3 linked regions of the Arabidopsis thaliana genome follow. The protein of the gene in region 1 interacts with the protein of each later gene in a pairwise test. Each region holds a gene or a part of one and is shown in the gene's direction. Other genes may lie near its edges. The genes, in order: AT3G56200, SUT2 and AT4G13530.

The links.
Region 2: the proteins of AT3G56200 (region 1) and SUT2 interact in a protein complementation assay, tested with the Arabidopsis thaliana proteins (one large-scale study listed by BioGRID).
Region 3: the proteins of AT3G56200 (region 1) and AT4G13530 interact in a protein complementation assay, tested with the Arabidopsis thaliana proteins (one large-scale study listed by BioGRID).

The regions. Positions count from the first base shown.
Region 1 is NC_003074.8:20,847,181-20,853,513, forward strand, and holds AT3G56200 (Transmembrane amino acid transporter family protein), read left to right. Parts: upstream 1-2,581; 5' UTR 2,582-2,906; coding exon 2,907-3,270; intron 3,271-3,374; coding exon 3,375-3,527; intron 3,528-3,615; coding exon 3,616-3,819; intron 3,820-3,916; coding exon 3,917-4,382; intron 4,383-4,478; coding exon 4,479-4,599; 3' UTR 4,600-4,924; downstream 4,925-6,333. Other genes in the region: ALPHA-SNAP2 (alpha-soluble NSF attachment protein 2), read right to left, coding at 196-275, 371-443, 530-579, 1,032-1,176.
Region 2 is NC_003071.7:826,818-835,142, reverse strand, and holds SUT2 (sucrose transporter 2), read left to right. Parts: upstream 1-2,523; 5' UTR 2,524-2,846; coding exon 2,847-3,113; intron 3,114-3,621; coding exon 3,622-3,687; intron 3,688-3,834; coding exon 3,835-3,933; intron 3,934-4,034; coding exon 4,035-4,099; intron 4,100-4,192; coding exon 4,193-4,277; intron 4,278-4,369; coding exon 4,370-4,403; intron 4,404-4,512; coding exon 4,513-4,612; intron 4,613-4,717; coding exon 4,718-4,793; intron 4,794-5,076; coding exon 5,077-5,415; intron 5,416-5,543; coding exon 5,544-5,687; intron 5,688-5,784; coding exon 5,785-6,018; intron 6,019-6,109; coding exon 6,110-6,173; intron 6,174-6,269; coding exon 6,270-6,313; intron 6,314-6,429; coding exon 6,430-6,597; 3' UTR 6,598-6,864; downstream 6,865-8,325. Other genes in the region: ARPN (plantacyanin), read left to right, coding at 7,423-7,612, 8,314-8,325. UniProt on the Arabidopsis thaliana protein: Responsible for the transport of sucrose into the cell, with the concomitant uptake of protons (symport system). Can also transport maltose at a lesser rate. May also transport biotin.
Region 3 is NC_003075.7:7,863,503-7,870,545, forward strand, and holds AT4G13530 (uncharacterized protein), read left to right. Parts: upstream 1-2,825; 5' UTR 2,826-3,305; coding exon 3,306-3,992; intron 3,993-4,927; coding exon 4,928-5,053; 3' UTR 5,054-5,674; downstream 5,675-7,043. Other genes in the region: SMAP1 (small acidic protein 1), read left to right, coding at 960-1,148; AT4G13540 (golgin family A protein), read left to right, coding at 6,394-6,757, 6,834-7,043.

The DNA.
Region 1 (6,333 bases):
TCCAAATACAGCAAGTCAGCACCATGCTTACTTTAGTTTAGAAAAGGAAAAAGACAATCTGAATCCGACTGAACATGCATAAAGAAACAGGAACCATGGAGGAAATACAGAAGAAGTGCCCCAATAAAACTATCTTCTCAGTATCCGTACTAAAAGAATAATATCTAATTCATGCTCAAAAGAGACAAGTGGTACCTTGTAATATCTTGCAGCCATGTTGAGCCTTCCTATCTCACAAAATATATTCACCGCTCGCTCTAGGCAAGACGCAGCCTCTGCATATAATATTAGGACGCATGAAAACACATAAGAATTCATAATCACTCTTGCATTACAGAGATGACAATTACAAAAGTAGCTTTATACATACCATTAGTGTCAACTTTCTTGTAGCATTTAGCAGCCTCAGCATAGGCGTTAGCAGCATCATGTTTGCTATCTGACTGCAGATGCAATCATGCAAATCAATGTTATCAAACAATCCACACATTAGTCCAGTATCATATATATGTGTTGCCAAAGAATTAACCTTTAAGTGACAGTCGGCAAGTTTTAGATAAGCTTTTCCAGCTTGATCCCCTGAACAATCACAAATGCAACACATAAGTAAGAAGATAGCGTTGGAGAATTAAACAAATATCAGAAAAGAACATGAAACCTATTAAACTCAGCCAAATAGAACCCAAATTAGGTACTATAATTGTGCCACTTATCAATGACTTGCTAGAAGGCCAGAAACCAATATCAAGGAATCAGAATGATGAATCTCCGATTTAAAATGTTTTCGTATGAAATTATCAACCATAAATTTCTTACAGATCAAAATAGACCTAATATAAACCCAGATACTAATTCTACTTCTCACATGACCATAGACAAATCACCGCAACTGATAAACCTAAGATCAAACGTTTCAAATTTCACCTTTTTTTTCTTCCTCATCATCACAAAGAACAACAATAAAAAAAAACACGACACCAATCCGATGAAACAATAATCAAAAGCAAAGAAATTTTATTTATGGAAATTACATGATTTGGCGAGCTTATAGGAATTAGCTGCTTTTTCGAGCAGATCAGCAGCATCCTCGTACTTAGATCCGAATATTCCCCATCCATTGAGCTTTTTCTCAGCTTTCTTCTCGAATTCCTCAGCTCTCACCAGATGATCCCCCATTCCTTTTTTTTCCCCGAAACTCTGACTTGAAATTTGATCGTGTACTTCTTTACCTCCACAGACTCCGATTGCTTCTCTTTTCTTCGTCGAGAGAAATTGCTTTCGATTTGGATTATTCGCTGCGATGAAAGAGAGAGAGACGAGAATCGATCGAGAGCGAAAAATCAGAGACACGCTTCGATAGGGGAAAAGATTTTTCAACCGACTAAAGTGGGCCAAATTTGTCTATTTAAAATATGGGCTTTGTTTTGAAAAGCCCAAGTTAGCCCAATCAAAAGTTTTTCCGTACTTTGTTATTGGGTCGCTTTAACCAAGCTTAGAAAATATGGGATCAGGTTTATCAGTTGGGATTGAAGAAAAGCTTACATGAATTATCAAGTAAAACGATTTCCTGTTATATCTGCTCGTCCTTCTACATTCTTCATTAGCCATTATTATAGTTCTCAAATCACGACAAATATTGCTGACAGTTTCCACTAAACAAACCTATGTTCCAAAATGCACAAACTGGTAAAAACCTAGTATGTTTTAATATCAAACACATGAGTAACAACAATATCGGTTTTAATATCAAACACATGAATAACAACAATGGCTAAATAACAACCGTTACAAATCTATGAAATGTTCAATTTTTTAGCAAATCATTTCATGGGTAATCGGTAATTTTTTTGTCTTTTGTGAGTTGCAGAGGTAATCTTCTGTTGTTGGGCTTCTCGACATGTTGAATGGTATTGGGCTTAGTGTCTTGGCCCATAGCATTCTGTTTGGGAGACTCTGAGCTGAGCAGAGAGTTTGACCCAAGCTCTGTTGTTGTTGACTGAAGCTTCTCCTTTACACACAGAGATGATCTAAAATAAACTGTAACTTTGCAACGAGGGATTTCTGCGGCAATATTAATGTTGCTATCAGTCACATTCTATAATGTTAACTGAGTAACTTCAATATGATTCATATGAAATGATTAAATAAAAATAACTTTAGAAGACAGTGTTTAATTATTCTTATATTGTTTCGTTTATCACGTTTTCAATTATTCATTCGACATTCCGCATTCGCTGCCCTCTCGTTTTCTTGATGAAAAGTCTCGAACCGTCTGCTCTAAAGTTAGTTTATTACACGTGAGCCATCTTTGAGGCCGCCAATGATATGATTATATATTGGATTTTATTATATCCACGAAAATTTTAAATTATTTAGGAGTTTTTTTCTTTTTTGGACAACTTATATGAGATGAGAAGCGATGATACACATTTGGCCACTTTTTCGTCTAGATACATTCTTCGTGAAGAAATCCAAGTGCACACATTCATTAGTGTTGGACGGACCCATTTTATTTTGGATTTTTTTGTATAATTCTTTGGGGTTTTTTTGTTAATAATTCACTTCTGTCTATAATATGATTATGATTGTTCATCATATTTTAGCTGTAATTTCCTCTCTTGAACAAAATTATTATTTTCGTGATGTTTTTAAGTACGTGACGAAAGATCATTTGGTGATCTCACTGACATGATTTGCCCAGCCTGTCAGGTTTACCTATGGTCAAATATCATTTTCTCGATTTTGCCCCAAACGGTCAAGGCATATATCCCCAATCTTCAAAGGGTATTTATGTACTTTTCGCTATTAACCGTGTGGCTATATGAAGCCGATTCCTCATAACAACTACAAAAAAGGAAAGCTTCTTCCCGCCGGCAAATTCTTACGTTTCTCCGGCGGTTAGAAAAATGACACCACAGATCAAAACTCATCTCTTGCCGAAGCAAGAACCTTCTTCGTCTGAGAACCATGGATCATCAACCTCCGGCATCGTTTTCAACGTGTCAACGAGTATAATCGGAGCCGGAATAATGTCGATGCCGGCGGCGTTTAAAGTTCTTGGAATAGTTCCAGCGTTTTTGATTATCACGATCATAGCTTGGCTTTCCACAATTTCCGTTGGATTTCTGATGAAATCAACTCTCGCCGGAGAATCAACTACTTACGCCGGAGTTATGAAAGAGTCGTTTGGTAAAACAGGATCCATCGCTGTACAGATTGCTACGATGGTTGCTACTTTTGGTTGTATGATTATATTTTCGATTATTATAGGTAAAGTAATTTGATCTAATCATCTAAGTGTAGAGGTCTCAGCTACTATTTGAGCTTAAGAACAGATTGGCTGAGTTTGGATTTGTATGTGTTTACTCTCTCAGGAGATGTGCTTTCTGGTAATGAAAATGGTGGTCCTGAACATATTGGAGTTTTGCAAGAATGGTTTGGTTCTTACTGGTGGAACACGAGAATCTTCGCTTTGTTATTTGTCTACGGCTTTGTCTTGCTTCCATTGGTCCTGCGTAGACGAGTCGGTAAGTTTCTCTCTATAATCTTGTGTTCTCAAAATTATGGATATCTATGAGATTGTTGATGATTTTCTTTTTGTTAATGGTTATGTAGAAAGACTGGCAATTAGTTCCGCTGTATCGTTTCTTCTTGCGGTTCTATTTGTTGTCATAAGCTCGGTGCTGGCGATTTCCGCGCTGGTGAATGGACAAACGAAGAATCCAAGACTGTTTCCGGAGTTGAGCAATGGAGGATCGTTCTGGCAACTCTTCACAGCTTCCCCTGTTATAGTTACAGCCTTCACGTTTCACTTCAATGGTAAGAACCCATCTCTTTCACCATATTGGTAACTGTTTCTCTGTTTTCTCTGTTTTTTCATGTTTCTGAGTTTGGTGTTGTGATTCAAAATGTGCAGTTCATCCAATTGGATTCGAGCTCAAAGATCCATTACAAGTGATCCCAGCAACTAAGATCTCTGTCATCTTGTGTGCTGCTATCTACTTCGCAACTGGACTCTTTGGTTACCTTCTCTTTGGAGATGCAACTATGTCGGATATTCTAGTGAACTTTGACCAGAGCTCTGGTTCTTCCATTGGTTCTCTTCTCAACGACATTGTCAGACTCAGCTACGTGCTTCACCTCATGCTGGTCTTTCCTCTCCTGAACTTCTCATTGAGAGCAAATCTCGACGAACTCTTGTACCCCAAGAAGCCGTCCTTGGAAAAAGACACAAAAAGATTCATCGGACTCACTCTGGCTCTACTGATTTGCTGTTTCTTGTCTGCAATCGCTGTACCAGACATTTGGTACTTCTTTCAGTTCATGGGATCAACCATCACAGTCTCCATAGCATTCATATTTCCAGCCGCCATTGTTCTAAGGTAGATATGCTTTGTTTCCTTTACTATGTACTTTATCAGTTGCTTCAAACTTCCTATAAAAATCTTACCAACTGCTTTCTGATTCTGAAATGGCAGGAATATCCATGGTGTATCAACCTCAAGAGAGAAGATCGTAGCTGCAATAATGCTTGTTCTTGCTGTTGCCACTAGCATTATTGCTATCTCGACAAATTTATACAGCCTCGCAGCAAACTAGTCGTTGAAAAAAGTTTTGCAAACAGTCCCTTCCATGATCACTTCAAAGAAATCTGTAAAATTATTAGCTTGCCGTAGCATTCATATTTATATCTTTGTGAAATAGGTTTGTCAGAAAATGCAATGTAATAGCTATACAAAGTGCAATTTTTGTTGCTGCTTGAAACAGAGAAAGAGGAAATGAACAACTCTTCAAAACTTGTATTCTTTAAATTACTTTTTGTAGACCATTATTTGAATGAACAAAGTACATCTGTATCAGACTATTCCTTTCTTTTGGAACAAAAATTGAAGGGTTCTAAGTTGGAAAAAAAGAGGAACATAAAGATGATACAAACCTTCGAAAGCTTAAGATTATGAAGATACCAAGACTTAGAGCATCCCCATTGGGGAGTCCTAATTAAGGACTCCTTACAATTTTTTAATAGTAAATTTTAAGTAAATGAGAGTTTAGAGTTTTTGGTTGAATCTTTATAATTTTTAGTGTCCAATGGTGGAATCCTTAAGTGGAATCCTTAAGTGAGAAATTTTTCTTAGTTTGTGAAAAAGAGTGTTAATTGGGTAAAAGGAAGAGTGTGTATTAGGTTAAAGAAGAGTGTTTATTTGGTGAAAGAAGAATGTTTATTGGGTTTGTTGTAGAGAACAAGAAGAGTGGATACTTAAAACAATAACAGTGGATAAAAGAAGAGTGTTTTTGTATGCATATACAGAGACTTCAAAATTTAGAACAATGAAAACAAAATTATTGTTTAGCATACAAGTGATGTCATAGAATACACAATAAGAACTAGTGTTTTCCGAATATTATTTTGTGGTGTACAAGCATTCAAACCAAAGTACAAACTTGTGGTGACTTAAAACATGTGGTCTCTTTTATACAAGTAATGTCGGCACTGGAGTGATTTAGAGAAGGTGGAAGCATTATTTAAGTCTGTAACAAAACAAGAAACCAACATTAAGAAGAGACATACAAGAACATTAACATTAAGACAACCATATGGAACTTAAACTGAACACAAGCTTGTTTGCTACTTAAACTAAACACAAGCTTTATTCGAACTAAAACTGAAGACAAGTCATATGGAACTTAAACTGAACACAAGTCACATTGGAACTAAAACTGAAGACAAGTCATATGGAACTTCTTACGAACACAAGTCATATTGAAACACAACACACTAACACTGAAGACTAAACATTCACAAATAAGAAAACATAGAATACTTAAACTAAAGATTAAGACAACATATCACATTAAGACAAGTTTTATTAAAACTGAACACATTAAGCTGAACACTCGTTTAGTCCGTTAACACAAGAATAAACAACAATATCATTAAAGCCGAAGTGATACAAGTCATATTGAACTTAAAGTAAAGAAAACAGACATACAAGTTATCTAAGCTAAAACCACTTAGAGAACATAGACCATAACATGACATACAAGTGAATAAGCACCAAAAGAGTCACATTTTTATCTTAAAAACCAAAAGATCAAACACAAATTTGAACATAAAGCAAAGCCCAGAATCTGTATACAAATCCATATACTGAATTCGAAATCAATTGTTACAGATCAACTTGTAAGAAGCAATTACCAGATCAAAAGCACCAGACTTTAACTTGCAATCAAATTCAACCTAAACCCAGATAAACAATTAAGCATCAAAAGGAGCAAAAAAATCAAAACTTCAATCACATATAAGAACCTTACCAGCAGACGAACCCACAAGCA
Region 2 (8,325 bases), on another chromosome or scaffold:
TCCGGTCAACGAGACGATGTTCAGGGGATGATGCATTTTTGACTCAACTTTGTTATAATTGGACGTAGCTTCCGAACTTAATTAGTCGAGTTAAGGTTTCGCATATACTCCGTTCTATATGAACACTCTATATATGCACAAATCGGACCCAAAAAAAAGCAAGATGATGTATTGGTTTTGTTGGGACAATTAAATGACACAAAGATTTTAGAAAAAAAACCATTACAAATATATGCACAAACCATTGTTGCTTTTTTAAAAAATAGTCCACTTTTTAAATGATTTAATGAAGTGAGTGGATATAAGAGTTCGTAAAAGAGCTGTCTCCACGTGACGTGATTCTTTTTTATTTCTTCACGTTCTTTCCACATTTCTATCTTTCAATATCGATGGTTACATTCTCAATAATGATTAATGACCATTATAATTTTTCTTTATCAACTTTAATGGAGTTATTATGTGAAACAGTGTAAGCCCCATTCTTATGTATATATGTAAATATCACATTATAAATTATGATCTATCGACAGAGAACGACAAAATTGCCAACCAATCACTAAGTTAGAAAATTAAATTTATTGTAATAACGCATCTCTTTTTTTTTTTTTAAACATATAGTTTTTATATTATTAATATTTGAATTTGTCGTTTGAGAAATGACGAAGGAGTTATTTTCAGGCGTAAGCATTTGACGTGCTCGACGTTAAGGAGATGACGTGTTAAGTTATGGTACATATGTTTTTTTCTCTTTTATTTGGGTCATAGCCGCGTTCAACACGTGCTTTTTGTCAAATGTAATTACATGATTAAACTAAAAAAACTTATTACTGTTTTTCAATCAACTTATTAACCTTGATCTTTTTTATAACAAAATAAAAATAAAAATTGGCACATGATCAAATCATCAATCTCAAATAAGATAAAACCAAAGGTGTAATAAGGTTCATTTTTTTGTGGAGAAACCGAGTCAATGCTACCAAATTGCCTATATAGGCTTGAATTTTATGTAAATGCTTTTTTGAATGGAATAATCCGATTTTTTATTTTATTTTTTCTTATGTAAAATTATAACATGGTATAGATAAAAAATTTGTTTTGTAATAAGTGATATTTGGTCTAACGGCGCGTATGTATAGTTCTTTTACAAAAGTGAGTAATAGTGGTTTTCTGGTTCAAATACTATTGAGAATGGTATCAGTTTTGATGGACAACAAGTGTATGAGACTCGGCTATAACTTCTCAATTAACCATTAACCATTAAAGAATACAAAATTTGGATTTTCGACTATACTTTGGTTCGGATACATCATACATGCATGCACACCATAACAACTAAACTCAAAAGGATTTGTTTTTGAACTTTTGATGATAAGAAAAAGAAAAAAAAGATGGGACATAAGAGTCATGTACACGTGGATAAGGAAAGGAGAAGAGAGGGACAAGGGAAGAGATGGAGAAAGAGAGACGTAAGTATTAATTCAATTGTGTGCCCTATTAGCTTTCATTTTCCACAAGCAAGAATAATATTAATAATTATGTATCATCTTTGCATTTTTGTACCAATACATGATACATTTGTTAGGCACACGTCTTTTTCCTTTTTCCTCCTTTTTATTTCTAACTTTCTTCCTTTTATTCGTTTAATCCGGCTCTATCACGTTAACACACATATATGTTATATCATCTTTTTACAAACATGTTTACATTAGTTATTAGAAAATACATATACTTGTAATAGTGACATTGGTAAGAAGAACTCTATCACCTTCACAATCACACACATATATGTTATATAATCTTTTTACAAACATGTTTACATTAGTTATTAGAAAATACATATACTTGTAAATAGTGACATTGGTAAGAAGAAAAAAACACTATTAAATAGTGAAAAAATGTTTATAACTCTCTTAATTAACATTACTTATTATTGCTAGCACCTAAAATCTCCCACAAAATATTTGTTGTAAAACACAAATTTACAAAATGATTTTGTTTTTAAATTAGTAACACATGTTCATATATACGTTAATAAGAACATACCCTATATGATTTTATATAAAAAAATTTCTTTGAGACGTCTTATCCTTTTTTCTTTAATAATATGCAATTGTGAGAGTTTGGATTTGAATGGTAGCATTAGAAGCAAACTTGAACCAAACATATTTCATGAAGTCAAACTTGAACCAATGTAATCACTAATCACAGTGTTCGCAGTGTAAGGCATCAGAAAATAGAAGAAGGGACATAGCTATGAATCATATAATCTTGACACATGTTTTATAGGTTTTAGGTGTGTATGCTAACAAAAAATGAGACAGCTTTCTTCTAATAGACTTAATATTTGGGCTAAATGTACCACAGTTGTGAATTTCTTACAAAAATGGGCCGAGCTACAAAAAACTACAGGCCCACTCTCAACTCTTATCAAACGACACCGTTTTACTTTTTTAAAAGCACACACTTTTTGTTTGGTGTCGGTGACGGTGAGTTTCGTCCGCTCTTCCTTTAAATTGAAGCAACGGTTTTGATCCGATCAAATCCAACGGTGCTGATTACACAAAGCCCGAGACGAAAACGTTGACTATTAAGTTAGGTTTTAATCTCATCCGTTAATCTACAAATCAACGGTTCCCTGTAAAACGAATCTTCCTTCCTTCTTCACTTCCGCGTCTTCTCTCTCAATCACCTCAAAAAAATCGATTTCATCAAAATATTCACCCGCCCGAATTTGACTCTCCGATCATCGTCTCCGAATCTAGATCGACGAGATCAAAACCCTAGAAATCTAAATCGGAATGAGAAATTGATTTTGATACGAATTAGGGATCTGTGTGTTGAGGACGATGAGTGACTCGGTGTCGATCTCGGTTCCGTATAGGAATTTGAGGAAGGAAATTGAACTTGAGACGGTCACCAAGCATCGTCAAAACGAATCTGGTTCTTCGTCGTTCTCTGAATCTGCTTCTCCTTCGAATCATTCTGATTCGGCTGATGGTGAATCTGTGTCGAAGAATTGTAGTTTAGTGACGTTGGTTCTTAGTTGTACAGTTGCCGCTGGAGTTCAATTTGGTTGGGCATTGCAACTTTCTCTTCTTACTCCTTATATTCAGGTACTTACTATTACTCTTGTCATTGTTACCATTTCTATCACTTGTGGCTTTCTCTATAGCAATTTAGATTCGAGGGTTTTGTTCTTGTGTAGCTTTGTACGAGAAAGTCGAGTACTTTGTAGGTGAATCAATGAATTCTAATACTTAGGTTAGGTAGTTGTTGTCACCAACATAGCCATGAGATATTTTCGTATGGAACTCTATAGCATTGGCTTATCGAAGAGTATATGACATTGGAATTTAGCTAGATTGTTTATGTTCATTGGATTACATAAGCATTTGTAAAAATATAAAAGACCTTAGCCTTTTTCGGAACTATTGTATAATCAGAGATTAGACTGTGTTTAGAATAGTATTGTACTGGTCATATATGTATCAGGTGGGTAGTTATGGTGGTAGATAGAACTATTGTTAAATATCTGTTTGCTGGAAGTATTTTGATTTTCTTGTTGCTGAAGAACCCTTTTGAGTTTTATCTAACAGTGTTGCATTTGGTTGGTTGATGCAGACCCTTGGAATATCGCATGCTTTTTCTTCGTTTATTTGGCTGTGCGGCCCAATTACAGGCCTTGTGGTAGGTTAAAAGTTTCTTTAAGAATTTTAGCAGTTTTACTATCTTGCACGTAATGATCTCACGAGAGTTCAAGTTTTGATTTATATTGGATCAGAAACTATTTTTCTGCCCCATTTTGTTCATACTTATTTGTTTGTTGGGTTTTAGGTCCAGCCTTTTGTTGGCATTTGGAGTGATAAATGTACTTCAAAGTATGGAAGAAGACGACCATTTATTCTAGTTGGATCATTCATGATCTCAATAGCAGTAAGTGCCAATAGAAGATATGATTTCTGTTTTGATTTTCTTTTAGGAGATAGCTGGCTACATTGTGTTTTATATAAGCTAAACAAAAGCTTGCAATTTAGGTGATAATAATCGGATTTTCTGCAGACATTGGGTATCTGTTAGGAGATTCAAAGGAACATTGCAGGTAACTCTCCTGCTCCCCTGCCAATGGCATGTTTTTTATGGAATGTATCAAAATTAAAGTAACTGACGACTTGATGTGTATCTTGAAATGCAGTACTTTCAAAGGCACACGAACCAGGGCAGCTGTTGTCTTTATCATTGGGTTTTGGTTGTTGGATCTAGCAAACAATACAGTACAGGTTCAGATCTGCCTCTGCAATGTACTTGAGTGAATGGTACTAGTCATTACCTCTGTATCCAGGAATGATGTTTTCGGCTTTTTTATTTTCAGGGACCTGCTCGTGCTCTTCTAGCTGATCTATCAGGTAATAATGGAATATAACCATACACTTAACAGAACAGAATTTCTATTCAAACTCTAGAATCAGATTGAATATGCTGTGCTTCTAATGAGATGTCTCTTGCTGTCCCTAGGTCCTGATCAGCGGAATACTGCAAATGCTGTGTTCTGCTTGTGGATGGCTATTGGGAACATCCTTGGGTTTTCTGCCGGTGCTAGCGGAAAATGGCAAGAGTAATCTTTGAGATCCTTATTCTCAAAATCTTGTATTCTTTTTCCTCATTTGCAATTTTGCATTTTCCGCCAGCTGTTAAATGATCAGGCAATTTTACTGCGCAGATGGTTCCCTTTTTTAACTAGTAGAGCATGTTGTGCTGCATGTGGAAATCTCAAAGCAGCGTTTCTTCTTGCAGTGGTAAGCAGTATGTTTAATTTTCTGACACATGCATCTTACTAAGCTTTCTAAATTGCAATGGAATGGGCTGGTCTTTACGAAACACTCTCACGTTTGTACATTGTGACTTGTGATTCATATATGTCGCAAATCAATGCGTTCTGTTTGTATGTCTATATTATTTTTGAGGTGATTTTGAAAGTGAAATTATATTATTGCACCCAGTGGCTTTTGTTCTTGTTTCATAGTCTAAAATCTGAATATATTGTTCTATATGTTTTAAGAGTTTAAATCATTTTTTCAGGTCTTTCTCACTATATGTACTCTTGTCACAATCTATTTTGCTAAAGAGATTCCTTTTACAAGCAACAAGCCCACCCGCATACAAGATTCTGCACCTTTGTTGGATGATCTCCAGTCCAAAGGCCTTGAGCATTCAAAATTAAATAATGGTACTGCCAATGGAATCAAGTATGAGAGAGTGGAACGTGATACGGATGAACAGTTTGGCAATTCAGAGAATGAGCATCAAGATGAGACCTACGTTGATGGCCCTGGATCTGTTTTAGTGAATTTGCTAACTAGTTTAAGGCATTTGCCACCGGCTATGCACTCAGTTCTTATCGTCATGGCTCTTACATGGGTGAGTGCCAAAGAAAAATTATGATCAGTTATTACATATTTCACACTGTTTCTTTTCTTAAACTCTTTAATGATCTTTAAAATTATTTGCTTCTGTTATATTTTTGATTGTGGTCTTGTTCTTTGCAGTTATCCTGGTTCCCCTTCTTTCTGTTCGATACAGATTGGATGGGAAGAGAAGTTTACCATGGGGATCCAACAGGAGATAGTTTGCATATGGAACTCTATGATCAAGGTGTACGTGAAGGTGCACTTGGTTTGCTACTAAACTCTGTAAGAATCGTTATAATAACCTGTTTTTTAACTGCACTGCTCTTCAAAATTCAATTACTCGCCCGTTATTGAATATTCTTCTTCCCTGTTTCCGTAGGTTGTTCTTGGGATCAGCTCATTTCTCATTGAACCAATGTGTCAGCGGATGGGTGCTCGGGTTGTATGGGCTTTGAGCAATTTTACTGTATTTGCCTGCATGGCGGGAACAGCTGTAATCAGCTTGATGTCTCTCAGTGATGACAAAAATGGAATTGAATACATAATGCGTGGAAACGAAACAACAAGAACCGCAGCCGTAATCGTTTTTGCACTCCTTGGTTTTCCCCTAGCTGTATGTGCTTTCTTTCAACCGTAATTCTCTTTATTCTTTTCGTGTTGCAACATTTCTCTAAAATATGTGATAAAACCATTCTTTAATGCAGATCACATACAGTGTCCCTTTCTCTGTCACAGCAGAAGTCACTGCTGATTCCGGTGGCGGTCAAGGTCTGTGAAAAGATTCATATCTTCACTATATTCATAGTTTTTGTACTTAAATCTTAGATTTCAGTAATCCCTAATGGTTTCATTTCCTCACTCCAGGTTTGGCTATAGGAGTGTTGAATCTCGCAATCGTTATTCCCCAGGCAATCTCTCAAATCTAATTACACTGATAAATTTCATTCTCTTGTATAATGCCACTCACTTCGAGTGTAGTCTTGACCCGTAAATAGTGTCTGAATATGGTTTTGGCTCTAAACAGATGATAGTATCACTTGGAGCGGGTCCATGGGATCAATTGTTTGGAGGAGGAAACTTACCGGCGTTTGTTTTGGCGTCTGTTGCTGCTTTCGCTGCTGGAGTTATTGCATTGCAAAGGCTTCCCACGCTATCGAGTTCTTTCAAGTCCACCGGTTTCCACATCGGCTAAAATCTTTATACCACAGACATAAAATTCACAGTTAGATCTACCCGATTCTTTTTGACCACGTTCTCCTCTCGGCGTATATGTAAGTAGGTTTTGTACATCTAGTTTTCTTATATGTTATACACAGCAATGTGACTCTAAATTTACAGTACCTCTCTTCTCACGTAGAATATATCTTCGTTATTTTGAATCACTTTATATTTGTGTGTTCCTTTCCTCACAAATAGAAACTTGAAGCAACATATTCCAAACTCAATAGTCCAATCTAATAACACAATACTGTTGGTTCTTTAACCTATGATGTGTACGTTTTCCCAACATTACCATACTAATATAACAAAGCATTTCAATAAGAACACAAATTCAAACCTATTTTCGCCTATAAACTATGTACTAAAATCATAACCAAACTATATCTCCAATAGAAACAATGTGTCCATAAATAATAAATGCTCATATATCGTGGGTTGTTGATGACATAGTCTTTGTCCACAAGTTCCTTATTTAGTTGATATAAGCATTTTCAAAACAAAGAAACAAAATTCAACTTAGTGTAACAATGTCAAAACCAAACTCTTATCTTCAATAATGAGACAAAAGAAACCGAAGTTAAGTCTATAATCAATTTCTACATAGACAATGTGGCCAAAAATAATAAATGAACATATATCATGGGTTGTTGAGACACCCAATTTAATAAAATAAAAACATTGAATGTCTTATTTTCTTCTTCTTTAAAAACCCTTTGTACATTTACTCTTCAATTCATCCTCATTTACTCTCTATAGTTTCTCTCTCTTTCTCTAAACTTTCACCTAAGATCGATCAATGGCCAAGGGAAGAGGCAGTGCATCATGGTCGGCTCGAGCCATAGTGACTCTCATGGCTGTGTCAGTGTTGTTGCTTCAAGCTGACTACGTTCAAGCTGCAACGTACACGGTCGGTGACTCTGGTATCTGGACCTTTAACGCTGTGGGTTGGCCTAAAGGCAAACACTTTAGAGCCGGCGACGTTCTTGGTATATACTTCACATCCTTTTAATCAAGCTTCAGTAATTATTATACTATCTTGTTACACTTAAACCACAAGCAGTTAAGCTTTCTAATCTTCATATCCACTAGGGATGTATCCATATCATGGCTGCTTCTAAGTATGGGCAAGATGTGCTTTTGTATAAAGCACACGACAAATAAAAAACTTCCTATAGTTTAAAGGTTACAAATATGATTGATAAATGTTTTGCATACACAGTTTAAATAGTGTATATCTTTTACATGATTGAGCCTGTGATATATTTTACTATATTATAGATATGTATGTATACATCTTCCTTCTCCAAAATTTTTTTTCTAGTTTCGATTATTCACAAACGCTGATTTATGTGTATAGCAAAAATTCATGTGCGTTTAAATTTAACAAAAAATATTTTAAAATATCATAAATAGTACCACTAACCTAATTTTTAATTTATTTTGGTATACTTGAGTGATGAATTAAAATTGTTTTCGCATGAAGAAATATCTCAACCAACGTTATAGTATGTAGATTTATGAAATTCCTAAACAGTTCCAGCTACTTTATAATCTGAGTGTCAATATATGGAATCAATTAAGAGTGGTCGAGTAATCAATTATATGATTAACTAATTTAACGTTAGACCAAAAAAAAAAAATTATATGATTAACTTAAAATTTTATATTTTCCAAAACTTTGGTGCAGTGTTTAACTATA
Region 3 (7,043 bases), on another chromosome or scaffold:
TTGCCATGAGACCAAAATTGTAGGATTTACTTAATTGTATCTCCTAAACCTTTTTCATTTTTCAATGAAATATTTACATTCTTAGCAGAAAAAAAAAAAAAAAATTTGTAACAAATGGAAAACTAGCTCATTGGCAAACAAAAAGAGTAAAACCAGCCCATATTAAATATGACTAACACAACCATGTACAAATTAACTCGTTGCCCTTTCCGTAAAAGTGAAACAAATAGATTTATCTTCGTGATTAACGAGAGAGAATAATCGCATCCATCAATCGTATTTTACGACTTTCGATTGTGATAGTTTAATTTATTTCAATGTATGCAGAAACATATCAACTACTGAATTATATATATTAATTAACCATTTTGTAGTCAGAATTAACTGGGATTAAATCACCCAATCCTAAATTTGATTTTGACCTAACTAATGAAAATTTAATAGTAAAAAACTATTACTTTGATTTTACATTTTAACTTTGATAGTTTTTTCTAATTTTTATTAACTAGAAACCTAATTTTTTTTCGTCAACTAGAAAACTATTCTATCTTGATATTATTTTATAATTTTACAGACAACAGAATTATATATAAATAATTTGAGTTTTTTTTTGTAGCTTTTAAAATTGCATTAATCAAATTTGTTTAATAGAGGATATAAACATGGTATTAATAAAAAAAAATTCTAAAAATTCCTCTAGTTCCACTTTTCAGCCAATTCCTCAACTGATGTATCTTAAAAAAAAAAAAAAAAATCCACAGATTCAGCTAAAAATCACTACGAAAAATGAACGATTAAAATTAACATGGGCCACATCAATTGGGCCTAAGAAGATAAAGATGGGCCACAACATTTAGGCCTAAAAGAAAATGACCTCAACATCAAAACTTCGACAGTCAGTCACTGTAACATTTTAGATCTTTCCCGAAGAAGAAAACGAAGAAGAGACGAAGAGAGAAATGAGGCCGATGCAGCTGGATATGTTATCGGAGATGGATGATGCAGGTTCTTCGATGGCCATGGACGTTGATGACCTCGAAGCCATGGAGATACTCAACGAAGGAGGACTTGTCTCAGATAACAAGCTCGCCGACGCCGATTTCTTCAACAAATTCGATGATGATTTCGATGACACCGATATCAACTAAATCCGGTTAAGTTTCCTCTTTAAGATTTCAGTTTTTTTTCCTAAACTTGATGTAATTTGTGGAGAAACCTATGTAGTAAGTGTGTAATAAGTTCTGGGATTTTTATGTTTGTGGTATGTAACAATGTTTTTCTTCATTTGGATTACTAAAACATTTGATTTGTGTGTTATTGTGCTTTGTCTGATTGTTTTTTTTGGCTCAAATTTAGAATGTTTTTTTTTTCCTTGGTTCTGGAGATGATGATGTTTTTTGGAGATTGAAACCTAATTTTCTTTAGTGTTTTGGTATTTTAGTAACTGAAAATTAGAGTCTTTGTATGTGAAGAATGTTGTGAATTTGTATGTGAAGAATGTGAAAGTTATTGATATTGGCTTAAGATAGAAACTAATTGATTCATTTGGTACCATATTCCATTGTGATTGCTTGTAATTTCAACATCTGAGGTCTCTGAAATATGTGTTGATGTGTTTCATTGTGTTGATATTCATGTGACTCACCGGGTCTAGAGAAACTTCCCGGTGAGAGATGAAATCCTCATGTAAGCTGTAACTTTCCACTAGTGATTAAGTGAACTAGGGAACTCATACTGAAGCACATATTCCTACCAACAATTTAATGGCCTAAGAGAAATAGTCTCTTGTATCTTCCATGTAACTCAGATACATCAGTCAATGATTTATATGGATATGGTATCTTGTTCCATGTTGATTTCTTGTAAATTCACCATCTCGTGGTCTCTGAATGTGTGTTGTATTGTGGTATGTGGGAGGGGGTGTATAATTCCTGTCTTGTGGTATGTAGGAGGGGGTGTATAATTCCCCTGGCCAAGTTCTGTTGTTGCATCGTGTCATATTATATTCTCTGGGCCGGTTTTGAGATGGAAATAATGTGCTTGATGTTCAACTATGGTAGAAAGGAAAAGGAGGCTAAGCATAAAGATGTCACTTGTCACTTTGTCAGTCCCTAGCAGTCTTTGTTACTTGCCTTATAGTCGTATGTATGTAGTGTAGCCAAATTTCATGAGATTTCAACATTCGATAGCAATTCATTAGATATCGGTAACCTCTTTTCAGAATCTCTTACTAATAAAAAAAAAGTTATTTGAGGCCTCTCACACTACCCACCTCAGCCTTTTAACAAATGTGTTCTCAAGTTGCCACGTCATCAACTCTCTCAAAAACTCCCAAATCTCTGCAAGCCACCATCCATGAGCCTCTTAACTTTCTTCTCCTCCCTACCTCAACCTTTATAAAATCTCCACATCTTGGTTTAATGACTAAACTCTAAAATTTTGAGTTATAAAAAAGAATGTTTGTTAAACTATGATATTAACGCTAAACATTTATTGAAAAAAAAGTTGGGTTTCGATTAATATTAAATATTTCCTATGTTTCTTAGCAAAAATAAATAAATATTTTCTCTGTTTTTTTTGTTTGATTGTTAGAAAAAAACACACAAAAGTAAATATATTAAAGTTGATTTTAAATATATTATATTTTGTGTTTTACAATTTTCTATCACTTTAAACCAATAAAATTTAATTATTTTTATTAAAGTTTACAATTCATTAATAAAAACTAATAAATATTACATAAAAATTTTAAAAAATCAATTTTTTTGAAACAATTTTTTTTTTCTTCAAAATCAACAAAATAGAACCGAAGGAATATGAATTACGCGGATTACAATTAAATTATCAATTCATCGATCACCTAATTTGAACGAGAAAAAACAAGTAAAAAAACGAAAAGTAAAATAGTAAAAAGTAAAAATACATTCTATTGGATTTGGTTCGGTATCAATAAATTATGATGTTCTTCACAAAATGCATTTATATGACGTGTTTGCTTCCTCTCCCTCCAGTTTCAAGTTGAGCATATCTGATTAGCAAAAGCGGTTGAAGGTCCTCTACTTCTCGGCCCACCGTAACAACATACACTGTCAATCCATATAGTTATCATAAACCCACACGTCAACGAAACCACTCTTTTGACTTCATCCTCTATCCAATCACACCACGCCACGTTAACACCACGACCTAGTGTTTCTGTGATCTCCACACAGAGAAAGAAGCGTTTCGGTTCTGTTTTCGCCCCAACACAAAGACTCCTTTTGTTTCTTTTCCTCAATTGGATCGAAAAAACCCCTAACTTTGACATGGAAGGAGAGATTCAAGACTGGGAAATACTTCAGAGCTCGAGATCTACCACGGAAGATGACAATTCGAGGAGCTTGGAGGAGATTGATGATGGCACGCAAGGTATGATTAGGTTTGATCATTTCTCTCTTGAGAACCAGAGTGGTTTGTCTCGTTTGGAGGCAAACGATGAAGATGGGTCTGTTCAATCGGGTAGTCCAGGATGGATCGAACCTAGCTCCGATGTTCCTTATGGTCCGAAGCATTTTAGTGAGTTATGGTCTGATTCAAGCAGTGATCGGCTTGATGATCAGAGGTTAGTGGATGATGATGTGAATAACGAGATGGGTATAGAGAGAAACGAAGTGGGTATTGTTGAATATAGTGAAAGTATAGCTCAAGACATGGATTTGATAAGCTCTGATGAGAGAAAGGAAGAATCTTTACTTCATCCAGTGGAAGGAGAAGGAAACTCTGTTTCTATTGATCCTGGTGTTAAATCTGGTGGTGGAGGAGGAGAAGAGAAAGGGTTTGTGTGGTGGAAAATTCCAATAGAGGTGTTGAAGTATTGTGTGTTGAAAATTAATCCTATTTGGTCTTTGTCCATGGCTGCAGCATTTGTGGGTTTTGTTATGTTAGGGCGTAGATTGTACAATATGAAGAAGAAGACTCGTTCCTTGCAGCTTAAGGTTCTTTTGGATGATAAGGTAACTAGCTTGGTTTATTTGATTGTTTATTGTTCTTTGAGTATGTTGATTCATGAGTCATGTGGTTACTGTATGATCTTTTGGTGTGATATGAGCTCTGCTTAGTTCAACTTTTACTGCTTAGTTAGATGTTTTATTAGTGTCAATTGTTGTTTTGATGGGGAAAATGAGAAGATCAGATCATCCCCTTGTTTGTCCTGGGACCAGTTTCTTGTTGCTAAGTAGTTTAGATGCAACCAGCGACTCGAGGTCATAGTATTCACCAACAGGCATACACTCGTACCCATTTACACTATCTTGCTAAGGGTTTTTGATATAGCACCACTGCATCGGTTGAGTTCTTGATAGATACTTTTGGCATAGAATGTGTAGTTGGTGAGAGCAGTGTTAATAGTCGTTAGAATACCACCTGGGTGATCTATTTCTTTGTCCGTCCTCTCTGTTGTTTCATCTCCTATAATGCTTAAACAACATATTTTTTATTTTTACATTTTGAGTTTGCATGTTCTTTCTAATAGCTAAAGGATAGTTGAAAGATCTTTAGACTAGTTTTCAGTAGTTATTCTTTGTAGATTTTTCATGTTGGTAGCCAGAGATGGAAGTTACTATATATTACGAATCTTATCGTAAAATGTTTCTTTGAGGAATGGATAAAAGTAGTGGTAAAACCTGAAAGTTTAGTTTAACTGATCTTCCACTGGTACAAAGCCTCAGTAAGGACCCAAGTTTGAATCCTGCTTACGGTTGCATATAACTTGGCGGATCAAATATGTCTTTTGCTGCTGAAATTCACGTTCTTGCTTGACTTGTATTCATCTTTTTCACTCATGGCAATGAAGAACAAAAGTTCTAAGTATTTCAGAACACAATTCGGAAGATTTTTACACCATCTGATTCTTGTATTGTCTGTCTTTTGAATGAAATACTTTTTTCAGAAGGTGGCGAATCATGCTGCTCGGTGGAACGAAGCAATCTCGGTAGTGAAACGTGTGCCCATAATCCGGCCAGCACTTCCGTCATCAGTGGGTATGAACCAGTGGTCCATGATGAGTTTAAGGTGAAAATTAAGTGAATTTGAGGGCATAATAATGCATATATGTGAGATTATATGATTTGATGTGGTTGGTGCATGTATCATATGATTGTATTAAAAATGTTACAAAAACATACAAAAAGATGCTTGTAAGTTTGTACTGTGTGTGTATATATTGTTACTTGCTTGGTGGAATACAAATTGGATCAGAATCATAGTGCAGTTTTGGAAGGTTGCGGTCAGAATCTAACCTTGATAAGCTTCTGAGCTGGTCTTAGTAGGCAGTGTCGTAAAGAGATTGTACAAAGACAAAAGCCAATAACGGAATTTTGGTTGTTTATTTAGAAAGTACGACTCTTTAAGATATGAAAAGGGTTAAGACAAAAACCCAAATTAACAGGGAAGTTCACGTGAAGAGGGCAATGTTTCTGATTGATGTAGCCATGTAGGAGTCTATCTTTCACTTTATAGCTATCCTAAACTCTACGATGTCAATTGTGATTAGATATATGTCTCTTCTTCTTGTTTCTTTGTCTTCTTTCACTCTATTATTCGTTGACCATTGTACCACCAAAGTTTGGTATACTCACTTATCATACTTAAATCACAAGTGAGTATTGTAAGGAACTAAGGATCCAAAGCTAAAGCATACTCATGAAGTTTAACTATTGACGTTTAACGGAAATAAAGCAAACCAAAATTCGAACTTCAAGATAAATCTACCCATTGTCTTCACGTAACATACTCAAATTTTGGTTTGCTATGTTTGATTCGGTCTATAAAAACACAGACAATAACTTAAGACCTATGTAACAATTTCCTCCATGAGAAGAAGACAAATTAGACCAAAAGTTTGAGAGAAACCTATAAAACCTACAAATATTGGGAAGAAAAAATAGGAGTAAATAGGTATGGGTCCATGTTAATGATGCATGTGACAAACAATCAAAGCCCACACCATTAATTGGAGATTGAAGAAAAAACACTGCTTTTCATATTCTGTAACACCACTTCAATTCCTTTTTCTCTTGTTTCCTATTCAGTACTATGTCCTGAGAGTGCCCATAACTTCTTTTGTCTTTTTATCTCAGTTTCCATAAGAAATAATCAACTCAAGCCACAATGTGTGTTTGTGTGATTAGTTTTGTGATAAGACATTCCATAATTTTCCTATTGTGTGTTTAGGATAAGTGAAGATGCTTTTGGTTTGGACCATATTATATAAATAACATGTGTCTGCAATGCCGCAAAGTGGAGCTTTCTTCACTCACAATAATCATTTTTTTTTTTCATTGAATGAAACAAACAAGACATTCAAAATAGAACAAAAGTTCTACAGAGATAGAGAGAGAAAGAGAGCTTTTCTTCATGGGTGGTTCTACAAGCAAGGATGAGAGAAACAGTAGTAAGAGACGCATCAAGGTGAAAGCAAATGAACAGAGAAGGAGAGAAACAAGAAGAGAGCTTGATGAGAAAGAGAGAGTGATTTTGGCGTTGAAGATGGCAGAGACAGAGTGGAGGAAAGAGAGGAAGAGACTGAGAGAGGAAGTGAAGAGGCTGAGACAGAAGATGGAAGAGAAGGAAGAAGGAAAGGCGAAACAACACGAGTGGGAATGGGTCGTGGAACAGATGTGTTTAGAGAGAGCAGTGAGGGAAGAAGCTGTGGAGAGGTGGAAGCAGCTCTACTTTGCTATCAAGAATGAGCTTGATGATCTCATCCACACAACATATGGTAAGACCTTTCACAAATAATCTCATCTTTGATGTTTTGAGAAAGGAAGGTAATGAGTTTTTTTTTTCTTTTGTAGGAGAGGCACTGAGACAGAAACCGCAAGAAGAAGTTGCAAAGGCAGTGCAAGAACTCAGAAAGGAAGTTAAAGCTAGGGGAGAAACCATTGAGACACTGAAAGGGAGAATAAATTTGATGGAGAAACAACAAAATGGGAAGGAAAGAGAGATTGACTTACTGAGACAGAGTCTGCGTATCCTCGGCGGTAGCAGCGGGAAGAACAAGGCAC